2 linked regions of the Lonchura striata genome follow. The protein of the gene in region 1 purifies or fractionates together with the protein of each later gene. This does not show direct contact. Links are inferred from orthologs where the notes say so. Each region holds a gene or a part of one and is shown on either strand. Other genes may lie near its edges.

Evidence for each region.
Region 2: the proteins of VCAM1 (region 1) and MSN purify together in Homo sapiens (affinity purification with western blotting; 3 studies listed by BioGRID, with this or other methods). This does not show direct contact. The link is inferred for Lonchura striata from reciprocal best matches to the Homo sapiens genes VCAM1 and MSN.

Annotation. Positions count from the first base shown.
Region 1 is NC_134611.1:22,921,348-22,933,626, reverse strand, and holds the start of VCAM1 (vascular cell adhesion protein 1), read left to right. Parts: upstream 1-7,400; 5' UTR 7,401-8,034; coding exon 8,035-8,380; intron 8,381-9,060; coding exon 9,061-9,378; intron 9,379-9,602; coding exon 9,603-9,875; intron 9,876-10,495; coding exon 10,496-10,762; intron 10,763-11,187; coding exon 11,188-11,454; intron 11,455-12,279. UniProt on the Homo sapiens protein: Cell adhesion glycoprotein predominantly expressed on the surface of endothelial cells that plays an important role in immune surveillance and inflammation.
Region 2 is NC_134616.1:6,515,074-6,527,362, forward strand, and holds the start of MSN (moesin), read right to left. Parts: upstream 4,443-12,289; 5' UTR 4,322-4,442; coding exon 4,310-4,321; intron 1-4,309. UniProt on the Homo sapiens protein: Ezrin-radixin-moesin (ERM) family protein that connects the actin cytoskeleton to the plasma membrane and thereby regulates the structure and function of specific domains of the cell cortex.

The sequences.
Region 1 (12,279 bases):
TCAAGTTAGGCTTGCCCTGTGTTTAATCCTTACTTACTTTAAGGAGTTACTATGAAATTGTTGTAACTGATGTCACTCCATAATCATGAGATTACCAAGAAGTCACAGACAACTTCTCTCTTGGTTTTATGCCCTATTTCTGCTAATTAGATCCTGACAGGATTTCCAGTTATTCACAATGGTTTGCTTTACAGCTATGTGCCAGAAAAGTGCTATTTGTGCTTAAGTCCCATAGGTAACTGTGTTTGCCAGTCAAAACACTAATGTGGTTGTCTGAGTTTCTGCTTTAATTTTCTGTCTAAAACAGCCTTGGAAGGATAAACTGAATCTTAAATGGCACATTATAGCAATCCTTATGAAAATGGCTTAGAGCCACGATATGAAATGCATTCATTGAAATATTAGATTTTTTAGGAAGAGTAAGAAAATAAAAGATCAAGGTAAGTTTACAGGTGATTCACAAAACCAAAATTAACTTCACAAGGAATGTTGTGCAGGATTGTTATCTCCTCATTTATTCATCTTTATAAGCATCTGTAGCTTTAGTCTAAATTAGTAGCATTTATCAACTGTACAATCCTTTAAAAAGAAGCTACTTAGAAAGTAGTTGTTTCTTTTATTAAAAAGGGAATATGGTGAGCTAGTAGGAACTAGTAAAGAGTGAAGATTAATTTAGTAATTGCTTTCTTCCTGGGTATTTATGGAGTTTTGAACACATACATATACACTGCTTAATTTTCAACCTTTTGATAAATTTCTCATCATACTTACAATCATTCTGTACTGTAGACTTGACCTGAAAATTTATCCTTCTTTAAGTTAAATGTGCAAATCTTGTAGTAATCTTTAAATATAATTATTATTTATTAATTTTCTAATTAATGAATTAGAAAAATATATTTAAAATAAATAATCCCATTAATAAATACAATATGCAGGATAAAGTGAAACAAATTTTCTTAAATTGTCTGAAATCCTAAATTGTTGATAGACTGTATTTGCTATGTCACAGCACATTTTGTGAAACCATGAGCTACAGCAGGATCCATATGCTGCCCTTAGAGGTAGAATGAAAATCTCTTCATGCCACAAAAATTCAATAGTCATGGCACAATACACTCGAGAGTGCAAGAAAGGCAAAGTCAGCAGCTGGATCTTGGTGCCATAGCAGGTGAATCAGTATAATAAAATGTAATAATAGATCACTTACAGGCTGATGGGTTTATATCAAACAATTTTAAATCAATAATAGAGAATTCCTAGAGTGTTATTTTTAGTGTGAGATGTTTGTATTACATTAATTCAAATAATCTAGGGGACTCGGTGTAAGATGATTTGCTTAAATTCTTAATGAATTCATCATCATACATCTTGGGAAGTTCCTGTGCCTGGACCCTGATGGTCTTGCAGATCCAAGTCACCATGCTGCTGAGATCCTGAGTACTGAAAGGCACTACAGAGGTAAGATTAATCTCAAGCTCATGAGCCTATGAGAACTTAACTGGATGATCCTTGATCCACAAAAGGATTCAATGCTGCTTTTGAAACATTTGTGTCTTCTTTATCTGTTGAAAACTGTGGATTGCACAGAATTGTTCCCTTTCCCATGCAGATGTCCCAGCTTCCAAGTGAAAGCCCTAGCATTTTTTGCATGGTCATCTCACTTAGTGAATGGTGATTTCATTCAGCTCCAGGTTTGCCTGTACCTGAGCTGTTAAAAGAGAACTGCCAATAGCCATTCCTCATGGTGTGGAGATAACTATAGTAAGAAATTAAGTCAAACAATGCAATATTTTCCAACCAAGAGGGTCATTAAACCATCTGTTACTTATAATTTGGTATTCACATACAGTTCTTGGGAAATTTCAGGAGAAATCCTTGGCTAAGAAGTATCAGAATGTTGGAAGTCAGGTATTTCTCATACGAATTCAGTACAGACTTTTATCCTGCCTGAGAGCAATTTCAAACATGTGACACATTTCTCAAGTTGCCTCTCTTATCATGAGAGAGTAACATGGTCTGTGATAAAAGGTGACACAGCTATGAAAGTCATTCTTGCTCAGTTGTCTATATCAGACTACAGGGGCCAGGGCTTTGATGCCTAGCCAAGTAATTGTCTGGGAAGGGGAAATAAATTCCAGTAACTCTCATCTTTCTTACCCTGCTGAGAAAAATTCAGCTGCTTATGGTTTTTATCACTTAGCCACTCCTACTTTGTCATATTCCTTTTGTGAAAGTGTTAATAACCAAAGCAGTTGAGGTGATGCCTAACTGTTTGGGGGGGAGAAAAAGGAAAGAGGGAAATAGTCCAAATGACAAAACAGCATGTTTTTTATTTAGGGTAGAGCACATTCAAGAGACAAAAGCAGGGTGCCAGGCCGTTCATAGAGTTGCAGCTGGTTTCAAGCATTACTTGATTTATCAGTATGTGTACAGGAACACAAACATACATATTTTGCTACTGAAAAATGTTTCTCTTGAACACATGTCATTTTGGCTTGATGGAAGTAAAAATTAGTTCATTCCCAGTTGTTTCTATTTGGATGGTCAGTTTCTTCAGGACTTCCAGTCCACCTCCAGAGAGGGGAAGGTGACGAAATCTAGGTAAAAGAGAGATTTCATTTGTGTGTATCTTAAAAAAACAAACAAAAAAAAAAAAAAAAAAAAAAAAAAACAAATGAGTGATCCCTGTAATCCTTACCTATATGGAAGATTTAAAAATTATTAATCTTCAGTCCTGCAAAGTTAATTCATTTAATGACTTTCTGACATCTGTGTAATATTTCTAGCCTGTCCACTCTGGGACAAAAAAGATAACATTTCTATAACACAAGGCGGCAAAAATACCCAGCCAAGCACAGTATTTCAGAATATAAACCATTGTAAGAGAATAAAAATTAATATATTCTGGAAGATAAATTGAAGGATAATCCATTAGTAGCAATGCAGTTTTCAGTAGCCTTTGTAGGAGGATCCAAGTTCAGTATTTCTTGAAGGTGGAATGGTCTGTTACAGATTTTGCTTTCATCGTTCCCCTTTTTCTTTCTTGGTCCGTAGGGACATCCATGTACCTCATCACTGAACAGCAGGAAGGATGTGGGAAACAGGGAAGTGACTGATGAACAAGTGTATTGCAGAGCTGCTGCTGGTGAGCAACAAGAAAGCTTGGTCAAAAAGTTCTCCACCACTGTCTTGATAAACTTCTTCTGACCATATGAAATACAGGCTTTAATAAAGTACACAACAAGATTTAATTGTATTAGAATTTCCTGTGGAATACTGGGGGAATTAAGTAACTTCCTCATATTCCTTCTTAAATGTTTTCATCTGACTTTACCTTGCCATATCCTGAGTTCTAGCTATCATCTGCATGTTGACCCAAGGCCCACTTTATTTTTTCACTCTGTCCATTTTGAATGAGTTTTGTCTGAGGCTTTTTGTCGTTTTCTCCAATGAGAACAAATTATTTTGATATGCCTTGGTATATTCAGATCAAAATAAAAGTGAATCTGAAATCTTAGTCTAGAATTCCCAAAGAGATTTTGAATACTCCAAGGCTTATATTTGAATTTTAATCTTGTTATACACTAGATAGTATTTCAGGAGGGAAACTTCTTTTTACCTATGTCACTATGAAGGCAATGGGAGCTCAGCTATCCAAACTAATAAAATTTGGCTTGGAATACAACATTTGGCACTTGAAGCATGTGGATTTCAAGGCTATCCAACAGTTTAATTTTGAAATCTAGCACCATTAAAATAATACTTTTGGTTTTTTAGAAATAAAGTTTGGAATTTCCACAGTGTGTTTATTGCCAGTAACAGAAGACTAAGATAACAAGTAGGGACTTTTTCTCTAGTGGCTTTTATTTATTATTAGATTAAATTTTTGTTCTTTCTGTGAAGTGGACAATGCTTCTGAATAGAAGAAAATAAGAGAATAGCTATTCTGTAGTCTACCCAAATTATCACACTTCTGTATTGTTTTATCTGGCATCTTTGTGGATTCTGGTTGCCTTCAGACTAACCAGACAGGAAGTGTCCTAACGGAAAAGCTGGTGCCTGAGAAAGATAATGGAGGAAGTAGATGCATTTCTTTTTGCATACGGTATTTAAGAAATTCCAGAAAAGGAAAAAAGCAGATGATAAAACTTTCTTAAGATGTTTCTTTATCTTTTTCTTCTTGCAATAGATGACAAGTTAGATGTGGAGTACAATTGTGAGGTGTGATGTGGGTTACAGGGTAATGCGTTGGTGTTCTTTTTGTAGTTAGGTACAAAGTTACAGTTCCTGAAACAGACACAACCCTTTAAATAGATATGCATGTAGATCTCATCCTTCCCATCCAGAGATGAAAATTATAGGGAGTCAGTGATGCTCTCCTCCCCCTCTTGGGGCTATACAGAGATTGTATTATTGTCAGGTGGTGAGAAAGCAGGTGGAGGGGAGTCAGGAGAAGCAATGTTTTGGGGAAGCTTTGGGAACCAAAAATCCAGGTGCGCTGGGGAAGAAGACAGTGTATAACCCATAGAGCAAGCTATTGAAGTTGCTGAGAACGAAAAGGTTGAGGCTGGCAGAACATTTTCTGCTGTATTAGCCATGTAATCAGCTGCCTTCATACATGTCCTCCAGCTTCATGCTTTTTCAGTTACTTTATCCCATATTAAAAGCACTACCTTGCATGTGGTACCTGAAGGGCATTCCTTCTTTGCTGATGTGTGTTTTCCCTCTGAGATTAGTTCTTATTTGAGTTACAGCACAGTCCTCTGGCTCTTTTTCTTTCTCTTTGCATGGAAGCTTTTCATCCCAGCTGCTTCTGTAAAGCATCTGAAACTTCGAGGCTTTCTTTATTCAGATCCCCAGTGTACATCCCAAGAATATTTCCTGAGATGTGTGAGGGTTGCAGTTTGAATGGGAGACCTAAGTATGGACTTGCTGTAACACCTCTTTGATATGAGGCTGAAGAACTGTTGAGTCAGACTTTGCTGCATCCTATCACCGGAATGTCAGATCAGATGAGTTTCCTTCTACCTTCTTTTTTCTTATATTTCCTCTGTCAAAAGGACAGAGGAAATTTCTCTTCCTTCACCATAGGTCCTTGGCCAAAAAATCACAAAACCAGTGGTGAAAGTTTTGAGAATCCAGATTCTGCAAAAGGTTAGCTTTCCAGTTTTCCCCTAATAGCCTCCATGAGACAGGAGGAAAAAATGCAGGAAAAAGTATATAAACGTTGGAAAACTAACATGTTAGAAAATGTGCATTTTGTTCAAATAATTCATTAACATTTCAAGAACTTACCTCTTTTGCTTAGAGGAAGCTAATGTAGGTATTTAATAGGATTGCAGAAGTAGGAGTTAAAGCAAATAATTAGCACAGTTCTGAAGTGGTTTCTTTTCTTAAATTCCAGACAAGTCTGATGTAAACTTTAATTTCCTGAATGACGCTTGTGTTTTCTTATGCCAGGGCAAAAATTGTGTTCAATATTTCCAAACTCCATTTTACAATGAATAGTTGTTTTATCTTTGTTTGTCCATCAAAGCCTTAGAAGTCTATTTCGATTACTAGATGCACTGAAAAACATGTGGCTACATCCCAGTGCTTAATTATTTTAATCTTTTTTGCATTTAGTAATATTCTTGTAATACTTGTTTCATTCCAGTCCTCATTACACTCTGCATATGTCAAGATTTTTTCCATTGGTACTATAATACTTATCTCACTGTGGATGTAGATGCATCTTCTATTTTTACCCCCAGCATCCTCCTCTGTGCTGTTTGAATAAAAAACTAGATTATCTGAACTCTCAAGGTCAAGTGCTAAAACTTGTCAGCTGATCTCTGTTTGTTTACAGACAGAACAGACAGTTCTGAAAATAACCCTACTTGGTGCCCATCTTCCTATTTTGAGGTTGATGCTGAGGGTAGTAGGAGCAACAGAAATGTACATATTCTATTTAAAATACATAGAAGGCCTACATTTGAAGTTGTTTAAAGAGAAAGTTTTTAAAATTTGTTTGGCAGATTTTTACTTCCCTTAGTAATATTTATTGGCTAACTCTGCTCTTACCTAAACTGTCTGAGTTGAATTTGTCTGATCACTCAGTATAGTAATCCCTCTGGTAAGGATCCAGCTCAAGTAAAGTTAATGGCAGCTGCCCAGTTTAATTTACTGAGAGCAGGATCAGAGTTATTTCCTATTTAATGTTATCTGATGAAGGGCTTGATTAAAACTTTTCCAGTATGCAGATATCACCTCCTATGTTTAACTTTTTTTCCGTCTAGAAACTGACTTCCCAGAAACAAGGAAATACTGCCCTTTCAGCTTAGCTTCTGATGATTGTTTAAGCAGTCCAAGCAGAAGAGTTTCATTTCTTGCTTTTCTCTGACTATGATTTGAAAGTAATTATTTGCAACTTAAGTAAGAGAGTACACTTTCGTTCAACAAGACCATTTTCTCTGCATCAAAATCACATTGTGTAGATGTGTTATTTCCTATCATGGATAGCTCTTGTATTTTTGGATTATATAGCAGTACTTCCAGAACTGTACTCTGCTCGCATTTTGTGACACTTAGGAGTGTTTTGTTCTTCCTCCTCCTTCTCCTTCTCTACCTCCTTCTCTGCCTTCTCCTTCTTCATATTTTCCTTCTCCTCAAAAAAAAAAAAAAAAAAAAAAAAAAAAAAAAAAAAAAAGATGGTGATAATAAAAAGAAAATATTATGGTAGAACCCACTGTAGCAATTTCTTCATTTTTAGAGATCAAAAATACTTAGGAACATGAGTAACAACACCTCTTAAACTGGTAGCACAGTTTTCAAAGGAAATAATGAGTCATGTAATGTTATTTACAGAGCTGAGCATTGTTAGAATGGTTCTGAAAACTCAATCCAAACAAAAATATTTTTGTTAAAAGCAAATTTGAATAACTTTTTATCTGAGATACAGTTGCATTCAATTACTTGGACTTACAATCATTCTTTCATTTTATCAGTTGCTTGCAGGATCAGATCTGAAACAGATTTTTTCCAATGTAGTAGACACTATATTTACAAGTGTTACTATTATTTTTTCTGGGCTGTGTCTAAAGCAGCAGAGGGCGCTGAGCCAACGGACACCGCCCGATATGGGTCTCTTCCTCCCTGCTCTGGATTTCCCCATCCAGGGATTTCCCACTCTGTACCAAGGAGAGAGAGCCTTTATAAAGAGCAAGCTGGAGGTCTTGTAATAAGCTGTTGCAGAGCAGCAAGATCTCACAGCGCTTCTTCACAGAAAATAGAAAGTAAACTTTTGAATTTACTCTCTTTACCCAGTAACAGCAATTACAAATGTTTAAAGAGATGGGAAGAACAAGCCAGGCTGTGATAGTAATTTTGTGTGTGTTAAGAACTGGTAAGTTGGGGAAGGTGGGGGTTGGTGGTGTTTGTTTTATTTTTTTAAACTTTGTTAAATGTAAACTGACCTAGAATTTGCTGTTTGATATTTATTTCTCTTTTCTCCAGTTACCTTTTTATTTCAGTGATACAACTGTCAATTAAGTAGCTCTGTCAAAATGTCAGGAAGTTTTTTTTTGACATTTACTTTGAGCTTTTCTGTGCTCTGCTATGACTCAGTCATTTTCCTATTGAGTTTGCTAAAAGACAGTCTAGGAGACAACTGCAGTATATCACTGGATGCTTGATATTTTACTCATTCCTGACATTAGCAGGCAAGTTTGGTACTAAATGTCCTGTTGAAAGTGTTTCTGCTGTTGTCTTTGCTATCTACCTGCTACCTCTCCCCTCAAATGTTACAAAGTTTTAGAACCAGATCCACCTGACAAAAAAAGTTATATTGTGCCAATGCATTTATTTATATTTGGTTGATGCTGTTTTATTCATGAAAACTCAGTATCTGAGTCTGTATTGTCTTTGACAAAAATAACAATGATTGTGGGTTGTTTTGAATATGTAAACCACTGTATGAGCTTTATTAGTTTAACTTCCACACAACCATAAATTAAAGAAATGAAGCATAAAGACCTCATATCACAGTAGAACATGAGAAGAAATAGGAAGATAAAAGTTGAGAAAGCTGCTGAATTGATGTGTGTTTTCCCTTTTGTAGTTAAAGCTTTTGAAATGGAAATTATACCTGCTGAGAGAATTGTGGCACAGATTGGAGATGCACTCATACTCACATGCAATACTACTGGCTGTGCATCACCAAGTTTTTCCTGGAGAACACAGATGGACAGCCCCCTTGGAGGAAAAGTCAGCAACCACAGGACATATTCTACATTGACTATTAATCCAGTTAGCATTGTGAACTCTCATTCTTATCTTTGTACTGTCATATGTGATGAGAGAGAGAAAAAAGAGAAGAGTGTCAAAGTTGAACTTTACTGTAAGTAAAAATGTAAAATTCTCTTTAAATAATACATATTGATAGGAAACTCAATAGTTGTTTTAGATATTGTGGTTACCAGTTAACTTTTAATTCTAGGATAATGAGTGTTATAGCACAACATATACTTCCTTCTGAGATTCCTTTATGCGTCTGTTCAGGGCACATTCTTAGACCATTTCTACTTAACTTTCTGCATTGAAGATTGTATGTACTAGTGTTATTTATTCTTATTTTGGTAATTCTTGAAAGCCAGAACATGCACTGCCTGAATGCATTCCCAGAGCTGGGGGAATAAAAATCAAAGCCTTCATCGTTTGCAGCAGAGTAATACAGATGTCTAAACCTACCAGCACAGAAAACAGGATAGCACTAGTGTATGGATTTCTCTGAATGCCTATAGTTAAGCAGTTGTATCATTGCCTAGGTGCCATACTGAATCTTACTGATCTTTTGTGGTCATGTTTCAACAATTGTACATATAAACTTCCTGTTAGTATATGAACTGCTTATAAAGAACCTGTAGGTCTTCAGATCAAGATATGTCTTGTAATAATGTTGATAGAATGTCATGTTCTGAGCACCTCTAAACTCAAGACATTTGGTGTCTGGATCTTGCTCTTATGTTGACCCTACTGTTCATTTCTGCTAGTCTAAAGAAATTGTTTTTATTCTTTTAGCTTTCCCCAGTGATCCTATCATTGAGATCAGCCCATCCTTAGTTGCTGGAGAACCAGCCACTGTCATCTGTAAAATTCCTGATGTATATCCTTCTGATCATCTGGAAGTTCTCCTAAAGAAAGATGAACATGTTCTTCATGAGAAATATTTTTTGGAAGATGACAGCACAAATACAGAGACCAAAAATGTGACATATACATTTCATCCCCTGGCTGAAGATGCTGGAAAAGAGATTACCTGTGTGGCCAGGCTACCAATTGCTGATATGGATTTTGAGCCCAAAGAAAGAACATCTTCTCAGAGACTTAATGCAAATTGTAAGTATTTTTGTACAAAGGCTTTGGCTAGTTTAGCTTTCAAAGTTGCAAGCAAAACATCTTACTAAGTCTGGAAAAATTGTTCCACTGTGCTACTGGCATACATATTTTTCATTTCTTTCTTGGTATTCTGTGACATGTACCTCTAGAAAAGCTAGTGTTAGAGATGTGCATGTCATTCTTCATTTACATACGGATCTTTTCTTCCTTTTGTTCTCTTACAGTTGGTCCACAAAATACTGTCATTACTGCATCTCCAGGCAACTCAGCAATGGAAGGAGACTCTCTGAACCTCACTTGTGTGACTCAGAGTAACCCACCAGCACAAATAGTTTGGAGTAAATATTTGGCTGAAGAAAACATTCAGCATCTGATAAAAAACAATGTTCTTTCTATTCCCCATGTCCATTTCAATGATTCAGGACTGTACATCTGTGAAGTAATTAATCTGGTAACTAATAAAACACAGAAAGCAACTGTGGACATTATTATACAAGGTACAAATCTGTTTGAGTTTCACTTGTATTATCCAGTTCCTAACTGGCTGACCTCTGTTAGGTTGGAGGATGCTGAAACACTGAAAATTAGGAAAATATGGGGCTTTCCTTGCTACATATTCAGGATTCAGCTTCAATTTAAGGCTGTTCCTCATGCACTGTAATTTTTCTTTCTGTATCTAATTTTCAGCTAATTCTCTGAGTACTGCTGTTGTACATGCACGTTTTAATACATATCCCCACAATGCAGCACTATAAGTCACAAAAGAGTCTGAGAAGGTGGTGGGACACACACTGTTACTTCTGTGAAATGTAATGTGCATACCAGTATCACAGGGACCTAAGTCTCCTTCTTTGAACTAGTAGTTTTAATCATTAGCATTAAATTCATTAGGCATTTAATGGTAAAACTGTTTTGGACATAATAATATTGTTGTTGTAATATTTTTTTATTGATTGATTGACTGCTACTGTTTTGACAGAGCCAAAAGTCTTAGATTGAGTTTGGGATCAAAACCAAAATAAACAGATCCTTGAGCTAGCAATTCCTGCTTTCTTAAAACTTCCTCCATCTTTTGTACCTTTGCATTATTCTAACAGCCTTTTCTTTTGTCATGCAGGTGCTCCAGTCATTACAAAACTCTCCATTGAACCTTCTACAACAGTTCAGGAGGGAGAAAATGTTTTCATACAGTGTTCTGCTGAAAGTAACCCTCCTCCCAAGATTATTTTAAGGAGAAAATCTGACAATGCAGACATAGAGTCTTACAGTGCCAGGAATATTCTTCGTCTTCCATCTGTGATGTTCCAAAATGGAGGAGACTATGAATGTGTAGCAGAAAATAAATTTGGGAACAGTAAAAGTGAAATCACACTTAATGTGAAATGTAAGTATGTGTAAAATTTTCCCAGTATTTTATAAATAATTACTTAGTTCTTCAGTGATAAATATAACCATCAAATTAAACGAAACTCTGTGAGAACAAAGAATCATCATCGTCCTCTGCTTTTCCCTAAAAAAGAGCAGTGCTGATGAACAAAACAAAATAACAAAGTCTTCAATGTGGTGACAGTCTTTAGTACAGATCTGAATGAGTGAGAAACTGATCTACATGGTTTACAAGTATTTGGTTGGAATGTCTAGACTATGGAGGGTTTGTACAGAAACTCTGATACCCTGTGCTTTACTTTTGTTTTGAGAATTAAAAAGAAATTAGCTTTTGGAGGGGTGACAGTCTAGTATCCAATAAGACATGTTGGACCCATCTCTTAAAAATCCAGTGATGATTAACTATAGGACTCTTCCTTTCAGATGGACCAAAGAATACAATGATCACTGTTTTCCCTACTGCTGCTCTTAAAGAAGGAGAAACTGTGACAATGAAATGTACTAGTTCTGGTAATCCATCTCCTGTGATCTCCTGGAAGAAAAAGAAGGCCACTGGAGAGTCTGAGAAAATTTCTAAAAATGCAACTATAACTATACCAAACTTGAAAAGTCAAGATCTGGGGCTTTATGAATGTGAAGCTTATAATCAATTTGGCAAGGAAGAAAAAGCTGTGGAATTATATATTCAAGGTTTGTAGATCAAGACAGAAAACAAGTTTTTTGGTTTATGTATTTTAGGTCCAGATCTTCTTGAAGAATGAGGTAATTGTGTCTTTGATGTCAATGGAGTTAAAAGGTGGCCTTAATGTCACTAAGTGATTTAGGAAGCTTTAAACAATGAAGCATGAAGTCTGCCTTAGTACAGATTGATTATGAAAAGTTCTTAAGTTGATGGGGCTTCCATCACTCCATCCAACTGCTGAGTTAATGCATGAGGTAAAGAAGGCATGCAGTGCCTGGAAGGAAATATCCTTCCAAGCAGGCCTCAGTGGATATCTGCATAGGAAAGATTCAAGGAGACAGTACATGCTGAAGCTGCTCTATGGAAGCAGCTCCTTACTTCTTCCCTAAGCTTCAGCTCTGTTTCGTGCTCTTACAAGCTGCATTTCAGCTACAAGAAATGCTGATTCCTCAACTTAGATGGAATGATAGCCAAGTTTCATTTTCAATAGTAATCAGACTTCTCTGCTTTAACTCTGCTGCTTCTGCCTATTGCATAGCAACAGTGTCTTGCTTAGGGATCACTTCTGCCACCAATTCAGCTCTCTTCCCTGTTCTTTTCTATTTTTATAGCTGCACCAAAAAATACACTTTTGAATTCCCCTTCAAGCAAAGCGAAACAAGGACAAAGTGTTACTATTCCTTGCATATCTGCAGATTTTACATCTCTTAGGACTAGTCTGTAAAAGAAAGTTGGTGATGGGTTCACAACCCTTGAAAAAGTAGATAGCAAATATACCACAGGCAGGGCTCGACTAAGGGATGCAGGAAAATACACATGCATACCATTAATGA
Region 2 (12,289 bases), on another chromosome or scaffold:
ACTTCAGGCGTGACTAATTACACAAGGTAGAATCACCCCAAGGAAAGGGCTGCAACGCCCTGAAAAGATGCTTTAAAAAAAGATGCTGCTTGTAGATGTTATGGTGATAGGATATTTGCAAGAAGTGAGCCCCTGATTGGAGACACTCTGTTCCCCGTAGGATTCTTACAGCAGAAGCAGCAGACCTAAAGCTTTCCTGGGGCCCCTTTTATTGGGTACACCTCATTGGGTGCTGCCTCCAGCAACAAATCAAGAGGGCAAAAATTAAATAAAGGACTCAAGTAAGATGTTTAATCTTCTAAAACCTCTTGTATGACAGTCTATATGTAACATTGTCACCTTGAAGTTTTATGAACTGAATCATGACTACCAATTCAGATCAGGCACTTGGAACAGTTCTTGCTCACAACAGTGTAAAACCACTATAACTAATGGGTTTTGCCCAGACAGGGACAGGGTTTGCCATAAGATGAGAAAGGAAGATTTTACCAGTATGTAAAAACAAAGTGAGTATTTGTTTCTCATCAATAGTATAGTTTTAAATCCCCGTTTAACTTTAATATAGAGGGCCTAAAAGTACCAAACAAGCTTTTACTCAGTCAAGCTTAATTGCTTCACATGACATGAAGTAAAACCTTACTATTCTTGCAGAACCTAGGGACCAAGCTGTTGAATACTATACAAGCTAGGGTGCAAAGGCCTTTCCTGTTTTGCAAAATCCCATGGTAGGAATAAAGCTACAGATAATTCACTGCTTCCTAGTTTCAGTAGTTTACCTGGTTCCACTGTAAACTCAGCATGTTTTAGGTATTGCTGCTTCTGAACTACAAAGTCATCTGAAAATCACCAACAGGAGTGATATTCTGTATAAAGCAAGGTCTTTGGGAGCATTCAAATGCATCTCTTTACATCATATATCTGATGGCATTAGAAGAAACATAATGGATTGAGTTTGCCTAAAAAGTTAAGCACACACGTTAAACTTGGATCAGTGTCACCAAGCTTCCCAAGTTGTACTGAGTGAGGAAAGGAAGAGATAGCCCCAATGTGTCAGTCATGAAATGAGACAGAAGGCATCTAGAATGCTTCTAGAGTTCCTTCATAGCACAATGGGATCAGGAGAAAAGTGCCCATCTACTAAAGTCACAGTTTTCATCACTATCCTTTCCCCCTTCAAGACATGAACGAAATTCCGCAAGAGGAGAAATAAAGAAGACAAATTATCCAAAAAAGTGTAGCCTTCTATTCATAGTTGCCATCTTGTTGCAACATTTGGTAGCAAGTAGCCACAGACACAAGAAACTAATTAACCAGAGGATTCTCCTGATACACACCTCAATCTCTCAGTTATTTTTCTTCTAAACAGAACCCTGAAGTTCAAAGAACAACAGGGGGAAAAAAATCTTCTAGGACCTTTCAAGTCCTGCTGGGAACTAGGACCATCAATTCAAACTACAGACAGGGTTCATAAAGATCCTAATAACTATTGCTATACTCAGCTTCAAACTAAGGTATAATAAACTCTGGACTGGCACCTTTTCCCTTATTACCTTGTAAAACTTTCTGTATTCACAAGCCTAGGTTTGATGAAAGCCCTTTCTCTACAATGTTACCCAGAACAGAACTGCCCAAGTCGTGGTGACAGGACTGTTGAGTGTGCACCTCACATGTGATGAATGCTCCTGTTTCACGTTCAGTGGCCCATCCATTCACAGAGTAAGCACATACATAGGCAAAACAGTCAATGAATCCCAGAATAGAAGCCTTGCATCCACCAGTCACGGAGAAATCAGAGCCTACTCGTGGCAAATAAACAAACTGCACACAACTGGAGGATAGACTTCTCAGAGCTTGCCAACAGCTCAGTTTTAGCACTCAAGTACTTCAACCCTCTGCAGTACAAAGTAGGGGGGGGAATTATATACCCTTTCTGGTGTCTGCTTTAACTGTTCACACTTCACAAACTTTCCAGAACACAAAATGCTTAAACCAGAGTTGTATCACTAGATTAAACCGTGAAGGCTTCCTGTTGAGAGAGTATGGCAAGATCAGCAGGCTGATGCATGATGGACTTTCTACACAGCCTACAAAGCCTCCAGCAACCAAACCCCCCCATTACATGTCACAACAGCAAATCATGTGCACTAGTTCAAAGGTTACCAGAGTTAATCTTGGATTCTTATTAATAGTGCTACACAGCCTAGTGTCACTCATAGCAAATCTCCCATAACAAAATGGAAATCTCCAGCTACATGTGCTAACATTTAGCCTAGCTTGAGGAGGTGTAGAGACTCAGAACTCAACAGGTTTTGCTGCTTAAGCCACGCAGCAGCATGTTTCTGTAAGCCTGGTGAGATGAATGATAAGAGCTACCAACCAAGTAGTTTTGACACAAATGCTTTTCCTGCCCAGCCAGAACTGTTCCCTAGAACATTTCCTCCATCTGTCTTCTTCACAATGGATTTATTTTTGTGATGAAGCCCACATAAACCTACATCTAACTGCCCAGGTTTCACCCACATTTGACCTTGATTTTTTTTTCCTTGACTTAGGAAAGCCTCTTGCGCTTTACTGTTTTGTTAATTAAGCAGCTATTAACAAATCTTAAGCTAGCACAGTAGTAGTCATGTTTATTTCACATGAAGAACTGATTATACAGTTATGCCAGCATATCCTGCTCCTGCAAAACAAAGATCAAGAAATAATGTTTCAAATATTATTTCAGTTGGGTCTGTAACTAGAGCAGATGAGGCAGGAAACCAAAGGCTGATACAGCAGCAGGCCTGCAGCTCTGTACTGCAACAGGCACAGACTCTGGAACCACTCTCTGTAGAGCCTTCAGTGTGCAATACAAAGCATTACACCAAAACACTTGCATTTCTCTATCTGCTCCAGCTTTTAAAAGCTCCAAAAGCAGAACTGCTCTGTCAAAACCAGAACTGCTCTGTCAAAACCAGAAAGCAGCAGACTGAGAAGGTGGATCCAGCCTAGGGTGTGTCTGCGGAGGCTGCAATGAGCACCTCGCAGCCAGCGTTCAGATTCAGCCTGGTGCTGGGAACCCCGCCCCGCAAGCCTCTCTTGTTCAGGATTTCTTGGCCGATCCACGCTAAAAAAAGTCACTCATCACAACTGTAAACTCTCTGGCTAAAAGGTCTCCACTGCATTTTACAGAGATGTCCCCTAACTTGTGTTATTTCTGTTAATCTTACTGAATTTATTACCTGTATGTTAACTTTTTTTGTAAATAAATCTTCATTAATCACTAGTATTTGATAGAAGGCCCTTCTAAAGCCTAAGAAAATACTGTCTTAACCTTGAAGAGGCTGAGAATCGACATCCTTTAAGACGTTGATGTTTAAATAATAATAACCATCATCTAGCTATCCATGCTATCAGAGATGGCATTTAAAACATCAGGAAAATTAGCTGTCAATCAAATAGGTATTCGCTATCTAAAGTAAAAAAAGTAAACTATTAGAAGAAAAGAAAATCACAGTGAATTTCATTTCAACTTCTATTTGCACAGAGGTAAGTTTCTGTTTGGATTTGTCTTTTTCCTCTCCTTTATGTAAACCACAGACTCTTAGCTTAAACATTAGATGTTCTTAGGCCATTTCAGATAATTCCGGTACGGAAACATCCAGAGACTTCCAGCCTGCTCCTTCCTGTTTTATCAATGAAGAGCTGGGACTAATTCTTTCGCTCCAACCAGGAGAAATTAAATGGAAAAACCCCATGCTCCTCATTAGTCACCGAACTCCTGCTGCGAGGCGAGTCAAGTACAGACTTGACTAGACTTTTCTAAAGTACCAAAACCTCTCCAGCCAAGAAATACCTCGAGTCAAGCTGGGACAAGGTTCCCTGGCAACCCGAACTGACTAACTAACTGCAAGTTGTGAAAACCCCAACTTCTCCTCCTCAGGGCGCGCACGAGGCGGCCATGGCAGCGCCCGCTCCCACCAGGCTCCCGGAGCTCGCCCCGCTCCCCCCGGTGCGGCCGCACACGCGGGCGGCGCCGCCGCGCTCCGCCGGACATTTTGGGGCGGAGAGGCGGCCCCGCCGCGCCGAGACCCCGCGGTGCGGGCGCGGCCCCTCGGCCGGGGCAGCACAAGATGGAGGGGCGGGCGGGAAGCTCCGCTCCCCGGGACCCCTCCGTGCTCCTCGCCGCTCCCTCCGGGGCGGCCGCCGCCGGCCGGGGCGCAGCCGAGCGCGGGCGGGAGGAGCCCCCAGGCCGCGCCCGCCCGGCCCCGCGCACCCGCCCGCACCCCGCGGCGGAGCCTCCGCTCTGCCCCGCGCCGGCGGCACGCACCGTTTTCGGCATCTTCCCGGCGGGCTGGGCACGGCCGTCGCTCCTCCTGCGCCGGTGGGGATCCGCACGGGCTCCGCGCTGCTTCTAACGGGACTCCGCGCCGCGCCTCTCCGCCCGGCCAGGCCCCGCCCGGCCCCGCCCGGCCGCCTCCGTGCGGGGCTGGAGCGGCGGCGCCCCCGCCCTGGGAAGGCCGAGCCGGGCGGGCCCTGCGGAGCGGCCCGGGAGGGGCGCGGCCTCGGGGGCTGCGGGGGCTGCGGCGCGCTCCCGTCGGTGCAGGAGCCGAGGGCTTCCAGCGCCCATGAAGTAGTGCCTACACAGCCCCGGTCGCAGAAGTTTATGCGCGGATCGGTGTCATTGGGATTTCTGGTTCTTGATAAAAGCATTATTTAAGAAAATAGCGCTATTTTGTCGGCGACTGTACTGTTCAAAGTAAGACCGCAGCACTGACTTGTGAGCAATGCTTCTGTCCCTTGTTAGCCAGAGCCGCTTGCACACAGGTGCAGCTCAGCGCGCTGCCAGCCCAGCATCCCCGTGCGCTGTTCTGTACAAGATTTTCACAGCCACCTGTTTGATTTAAAAGTACACTTCCAGCTTGTACGGAAAATCACGCTATGATAAGCCAGTCTCTATAAAAGAGTCAGAGGAGTCCTGCAACTTTATTGAAATCAAGGGAGAGAATCCACTGGTACACACACATATCCCCAGGGTTTTTTCTCTCGAGGTTTCAGAGGGCGCAGCCTCCCTTTACCCTGAACTCCCGGCCGCACGTTGCCCTCTTCCTTTCCCCATTGGCTGAGGTATTAGGAAGGCACAGACTTCCCGAACCGCCTACCGCGTATTCCCCCCTTGAACCTGTCATTTTACCCCAAAGTTCAGAAACTCAAGCTTGTGCAGACCCACTTGACTGTTTCAGGATCCAAACTGTCTGGGATCTGCAACAAACCTACTGCTCAAAGTTAGCAGAGACATTAAGACCCATTTCAAAGACTTTAATATCCATACCTTCACCTATCGAATTGTTTGTAGAGACATTAGCATACATCTTCCCTCTCAAGTTCCAGATGCTTCAAAAGCCCAAGGGATTGTGGCTCCCTGAAGCTTGGCAAGTCACATCTGGTCCTCAAGGCTTCTCTAAGGCCACACCCACAATCACAGAATATAAATAAGCAACCAAATTCAAGGATGAAAATAGCAGAGGACCACTGGCAGGCCATCCACCAAAGCTTCTCTTGCCATCTTTGTTTTCCAACCACTGATGGAGGGAATCAAGGGTCACCATTTTCATGGGGATTTAAAGAAGCTGTCTCATCTCATTTGGGACATTGAACACAACTTTCATACAGGAAACTAAGTCCTATTTTCTCCCAGGAAATTAGAAGTCATTCTTTTGAAAGTTAACAGTGTCCAGAAGAAGGAAACTAAATAAATGTAAAGTCTTGTTTTTAAAGAAAATAGGAATATATCATTTTTTTTTCCCCTTGACTTTGTGTCTTATTTTCAAATCTGTTAAACATTTTTGTCTGGCAGGAGATGGAAACAGGGTCCAGGCATTTCATTTGCTTCAGCTGAATATGCAGGTTTCACTTAAACTAGAATCTCTATGCTGTGCCTACATAGGAAAAAACATGAGTATAATTGGATTGATGTAAACTGGTGCAACTTTTCTGCACAGGAATTCACAGGGTGTCTAAGAGGCTATTTTACAAAGTTTTCTTCCTTTTCTGTCTCCTTTTACATTGAGACTTTCTTAGACAAGGGCAAACAAGATTGGTTACACTTATTTCCTACAGAAATAGATACTGACAGAAGACATACAGAACAATAGTCATGTGCTCATGATTTTTTGCCAGGTTTGGATCCAGAAATATTAGGTGTGAGCTTTCTTCCTCAATTCAAGAGATTCTGTGGAGATTTCTTTTATACTAGCAACATATACGATGGGGAGAGGCCAATTCTGCTTCTATTGTAACTTCTATACCAATATTCCTTCATAAGACTTAGGTAACTGGAGAATTCCATCAATCTGTTTGCAAAGGTGATAAAACTTTAGATGACAGGAGTCTAGATATTTCCCTGCCAAATTTAAAGGGCCATAATTTAACATCCAGGGATCTAAAATTTTTCTTCATAGTGCTAATGACAGGAGGGCTAATGAGGCAAGTGAATCCCCATGCCAGTGAAACAATCAGATCCAAAGCAGCTGTATTCCCACTTACATTGTGCCAGGCATTGGCCATGTCCTCAGAAAGTCATAAAACCCCGTGTCAAACAGTCCCAAAGAGTCTGAAGAGCTGAGACAAAGCTTCAGCATAACCTACACTTGTTTCTGACCCCAGAAACTTCTCTTGCCTTTCTTCCCTATTATTCATATCGATAGCCAAAACAAAATACCATTCATGCCACTTTGAAAGACAAGAGTATCCTGTGACAGGCACGTGAATCTCTACACCTCGCTTCCTCTCCAGCTTCTTCTTTCCCCCTTCCCCTTCACTCCCGAGGTAGAGAACAAGACATCTGAAATTTGAACCTCATGGCACTCCAGCCACAGTTCCATGATGAATTCCTGCAAATTCCTGGAGGTGCTGCACCAGGACCTGACCTTCCCTGCAGACCTCTCCTTTAGCAGCTGCTGGGGAGCCATGGTGTCATCCAGCAGCCTTTTGCTGAGCTTTCCCTGCCTGGCCATGTGTGAAGACAACCATATCAGTGGATTCCTTGAGAACTGCAGAGGGGTTACATCTCCCTCTGACTTCAGGGTGAAATTCCAAGGGGGAAAAGCATCAGCTGATTAAAAGTCCTCCTTGCAGAAGGCTGGAGAAATGAGTAACATTACCCAGGGCCTCAAAAATGCTGTTACTCCCATACTGCTCAGCTCGCAAATAATATTAAAGTATTTCAGAATTAGATTAGACCAGGATGACATTAAGCATTCTCCTGGGAAGAGGTCTGGTATTTCACTGGGGATTTATTGTCTTGGTTTTATTTTCATCAAGCCTTTTGTAGTAGCTTCTTTAAAGCAGAAAGAACACATAAATTATTTGTTCTAACATACAGAATTATTTAGCATGAACACTAAACAAGGGGCTGTTTTAACAGCATATGGGTTTTCTGACTAATGAGGAATAACTTGAGTTCCCCATTGCATGGCTTTGACAGAAGATAGAAGCCAAAGGTGTTTCATACTAGAGGTGTATTTCAGAGGGCTGAAATAGTTTGATTCACATAAGTAAAGGAAAGCAAAAAATGAAATTGTTACTGTAGTATGAGAACTGCACCTTCAACACACAGTAGTCCTGGATTGACTCTATTTAAAATGAACAAGTCTGGTTCTGAGGTCTTCTTTGAATAGCAGCTAAACTTCCTTCTCCTGTTCCAACTTTAATGCCGATAGGTTCACAATGAATTGCTGTTGGTGATGATATTGGATCTTTTCAGTGTTTAATTATATTTAGTGGTAAAAAGCATATTTCCTCCCAAAAAAGTACTATCACTCCATTCACACCTTTGCATCTTGAGAATTGGAGTAATCTTGTGCAGTGATTCTCAAGCTGGAAGGATGAGAGGGGTAAAGGGAAAGCACACCACATTCAGGAAGGCAGGATTTGAAAAACCTGGAAATAATTCCATTCACATGCAGCTGCAGTGACAGAGCAGAAGCTGATGGGGCCACTGGATTGGTGAACGCTTTTATCTGATCCCTTTTCCACCTCAAGAAAATGAACTCATTGCAGTATGTGGTCCCAGCTCCTGGCTTGTCCACTCACCAGGGCAGAAATAGATGAAACTGCCTGGAAATCCCAGAGATTTGTGTCTGCCAGATGCTTTGTAAAGCCCTAGTTCCTTATTCCCTCCAGCATATAAATCCCCCACTGGAAGTGACAGCCCTGCAAGGGACATGGAGAAGGCTTTACTAGGAACAATGACTCACTGTATGGCCCACACCACTCATCTCTTCCTGTATATCTGGGGATGTGCTGGGAATATGCTGTTTGTGCAGGGGGAGACTAAAGGGGAGAGTTTCAAACCAGACAAAAGGTGTGCAATGAATGCAATGATCATATGAAAAAAAAATGTAAGAACAACCCATCTGCTAGAATTGTCTCATCTTCATTTTTGCTTTGTTTGTACCATATGGGAGCAAATGTTCATGCTTTCTACATCTTGTACTGCTTGCAGCAAAGTAGGGAACAAAGGAAAATCTAATGGATATTCTGGGACTTTACTCCAAATACTTACAACCCAAATAATAGATACCGTGAAGCACAAAAAAAAAATAATGGGAATTTGTCACACAATTTGTGTGAAAGGTACTGATACTGGCACCTTCTCCTTAGAGCAAGGAGGTGGAGTAAATCCCATTGCTCTGTTCCACTTCAAACCAGTGAAGAAAAATTATTCCTGTGGGTGATGGGAAGAATCAAGGTAGGGCTTTTAATTTTAGAGAAATATATCTAATCTAAAAGGTAACTCCACTGCTATTTATTTTGATAGTTTTGAGGGTGTGATGTATAGCCAAAAGGAAACATGCTTACTCATATGTATTTCTTAGAGGCCATTAAGCATTTACAGTAATCACAGCCAGCTAAAAACATACTGGAAGCAAAATGTAAAACACCTACATTAGCCATTGCATTTTATCCCCTTGAGGCATGTTAAGGAAACTTCCTTATCTGACCATTCAGCAGCCACTCTGGCAGTCACACTCCCACCACCAGAGACTTGAATGCTGGGACCAAAGCCCCTTCTCAACAGGCAGCTCCATGACCTGGTAGGGAGCTCACTTGACTCCCTACACACCCCACTCTCAGACAGTCAGACAAGTTTTCCCTACCAGCTTGACCCCAGGGTTCCCACAGCAGAGTCTCAAGCCTCTGGTTGTTTTAAGTAATTTTATCACGGTACAGCAACAGAATCACAGTTTGTCCTGGTGCCTCCAGGGAGGGACCGTGAACAAAGGACTCCCTGCACTTTTACATCCTCACAGTCTGTGCTGGCATAGCCTGGGATCCTCTGAGTCATGGACTCCTGCTGTGGCTCTGTCTGGTCACCTGGCTGGCACCACCTGACCCTGAGCTCAATCCTCAGCCTGCACTGGAGCCTGCACACTGAGCTACCTGCACTAAATGTATTCCTCAACAGGTACCCACAAAACCTCTGGGACATCCACCAGACCTGTCTTGACCAGCAAAGCCTCACTGTAACAAACCATGATGAAAAAAAAAAAACACTAAATCTCCAAAATCTGACAAAATCTCATGCTCTGCTCTTCATCCGTCTTACTTTCTTAACAGGACAATACAAAGTTTGTAGACATAAAATCTAGCAATTTTTTTTCAGTAGGGCTCAGACTGCCTATAGTTTACGCGCATTACTAATAGGCTTTGCTGAAGAAAGGGAGGAGATTTGGAGTCTTCAGCCAAGATCTTCACAGTTTCAGTGCCCCAAAGAAACAGGCTTTGTGGGAGTTTTCTCCTCTCTTCCCCCTCGCTCCTGCTCTGCCTCCTCAGATGGCTGGTGTGGAGCCAAGATGATGGTACTGGTGTGATGACCATGTAGGGCCACTGCCTTTCTGACTCAGAGGTTGGGAACTTGGAGGCTGTAACAAAGGCCACCAGGCACTTCCTTCCATGGCTTCCAGAGAATGGGAGTGGCCAGTCCAACCTCAGGGGCTGAGAACCAGGCTCCAGATGGTTCTGATACGGGTGACCACTGCATAGGAATCTATATGGAAGTCATCAATTCACACTGGGCTTTTTGAAAGGTATCAACATTTAATAATCAGGACTAACTGTATATAGAATCATTCCTAGATGGTGAAAAGGGCCAAAGAAGGATAAAACCGAGTGTTAATGAGCAAGAACCAGGGAGAAGCCACTTCTGAGAGGGATTTTTCAGGTCATGCAGCTTCACTATTTAAAATTAAGCTTCTGCCAAAGGCATGTGGGTCACCAACACTTGCAATGAGCTATAATAGCAGGAACCTCCAGCTGCAAACAAAATCCAGTTATGACAGCACATAGTGGAAGCAGTAGTGTCCTCTAGATTAGAAACAGAGACTAGCAGATAGCTCTCCTTGGTCCTACAAGCCGTGTCATTGGGTGACTGGGTGGTTTTATATTTCTTTTGACTAGCTATCAAAGTAGTATAATAAGATTTGCTATCTCAGAGGGGGCTGACAAAGTTGACATCTTAACACTTCAGGCAACAAATTCTGTATGTTATGTTAATAGTTTACAAAGAAATACTTCTACATATAATCTCAATTCTTAATTTAAGAGATTAGTTTCCTGGATATTTTTTTTTTGAGCTATCAATGCAAAGAGTTTATTTTTCAAGCCTTTTGTGGTGTTACAGTTGAAGTACTTCAGAGTACTGCTAGTACCAAGAGCCAGAGAGGCAGATAGCAGGACAAGAATAACAGCTGTTTTTCTTGTCCAGGCTCTACACTACATAAAAAGGGAAAAACTGTACAACAGTCTTATTTAAAATCCCACCAACTGCAAAGTTGTAGAACAGATGCAGATTAATATGGAGTCTCATTCTCCATATCTTAATGCTTAATGCACAGTATCTTAATGTCTTAATGCACAGTAATAGTGTAAAATATGCCCCTCTACTTGAAAAGTGTCCATATGCTCATGCTGCATAGGTGTCGAGAACAGCTGGAAAGTCAGGGTCATGTATTTGACATTTTCACTCTGCACACATAGAAATATACCGGGTACCAATGTAGAAACAGTTGTTAAAAAGTTTTTCCACATCCCCATCTTCTCAATCTTCTGGGTCTCCTGGAGATTACCAGCTTCTCAGCCACCAACTGCATGAGAAAGTCACATTTACATTAGCTTTTTAATTCAGACCAGGAGTTTGTTTTTGAAGTTAATTTCCTAATTCAGTGCATTTTGTTTCCCATCACGGTGCAGTCTCATACCTGGTGAACTGAATTCCTTTTGGATGTGCTCCAGGAGTGCACCTATCATGCTCCAGCTGTTGGCAAGCATTCAGTTAATTGGGCCAGAACAGAGCAACTCCAAAATCATCCCACTGTGAAGCACATTTAGTGTTCATGTTAAATAGTCAGCACCAGCTCTTTGTTTTCCATATCTGCTCTTATTTCACCACACTACTTTTTAATGTAGGCATGTTTACCTGTCAAAATTATCCTGACTTGCTTGTGTGTCTATAGAACCTGTTCAAATATTTTTAGCAAGATAGATTTTAATCAGGGTGACAGAAGTAAGTTAGGAGACAAGGAGACATGCAGATTTACTGTGGGGACAGTAACCTCCAAGAAAGACAGTCTCAAATGCAGTCAGAATAGCACCTTCAGCCCCAGGCCATCCTGGGAGACATGTATGGGTTTAGCACCAAACTTCAGTTTTGGAGCTGGATTCAAAATTCTCCTTCTCTCCTCTAAAAAATGCCCTAGGTTCACCCATGCATTAAGGCTTCACTGATTAACATCAAATTCCTCCTGGAACAGAGGAGTGCACCTCCCCAGAGGTTTAACCCTCCAGTCAGCCCCTACTCCCACTCAGCTACCCATGACCCTCCCTCTCACCTGACATTGTGATTTAAAAACCTTCTCTCCCTCACACACAGAGCAACTGCTTATAATCTAACTTTCTTCTGCTTCTCCAGGGCTCCAAGACTGACTCTGTGCTCCAGGAATTCCAGCTCCTACAGTGCAGAATCAGAGCAGGGGTGGGGTTCTCAGTCTCAACACTAATACTAACTCAGTTCTCCTCACTGTACTGAAACTTGGTGAAGTGAATCAATGCATTGGAAAATAGGGCTCAGAAAGCCATAAAAAGGGAAAAGAAATCTGGCCCACGTTTCCAGGTAGTGGCATGTAATGTGGAAGATGATCTCAGCACTAACTGTTTCAGACAAATAATCCTTTACCAGTTCTTTCCATTTAAGCCTCAGCTCCATTCATTTTTGCCTGTGACTTAGATCTATTTTTGGAAACCTTAAAAA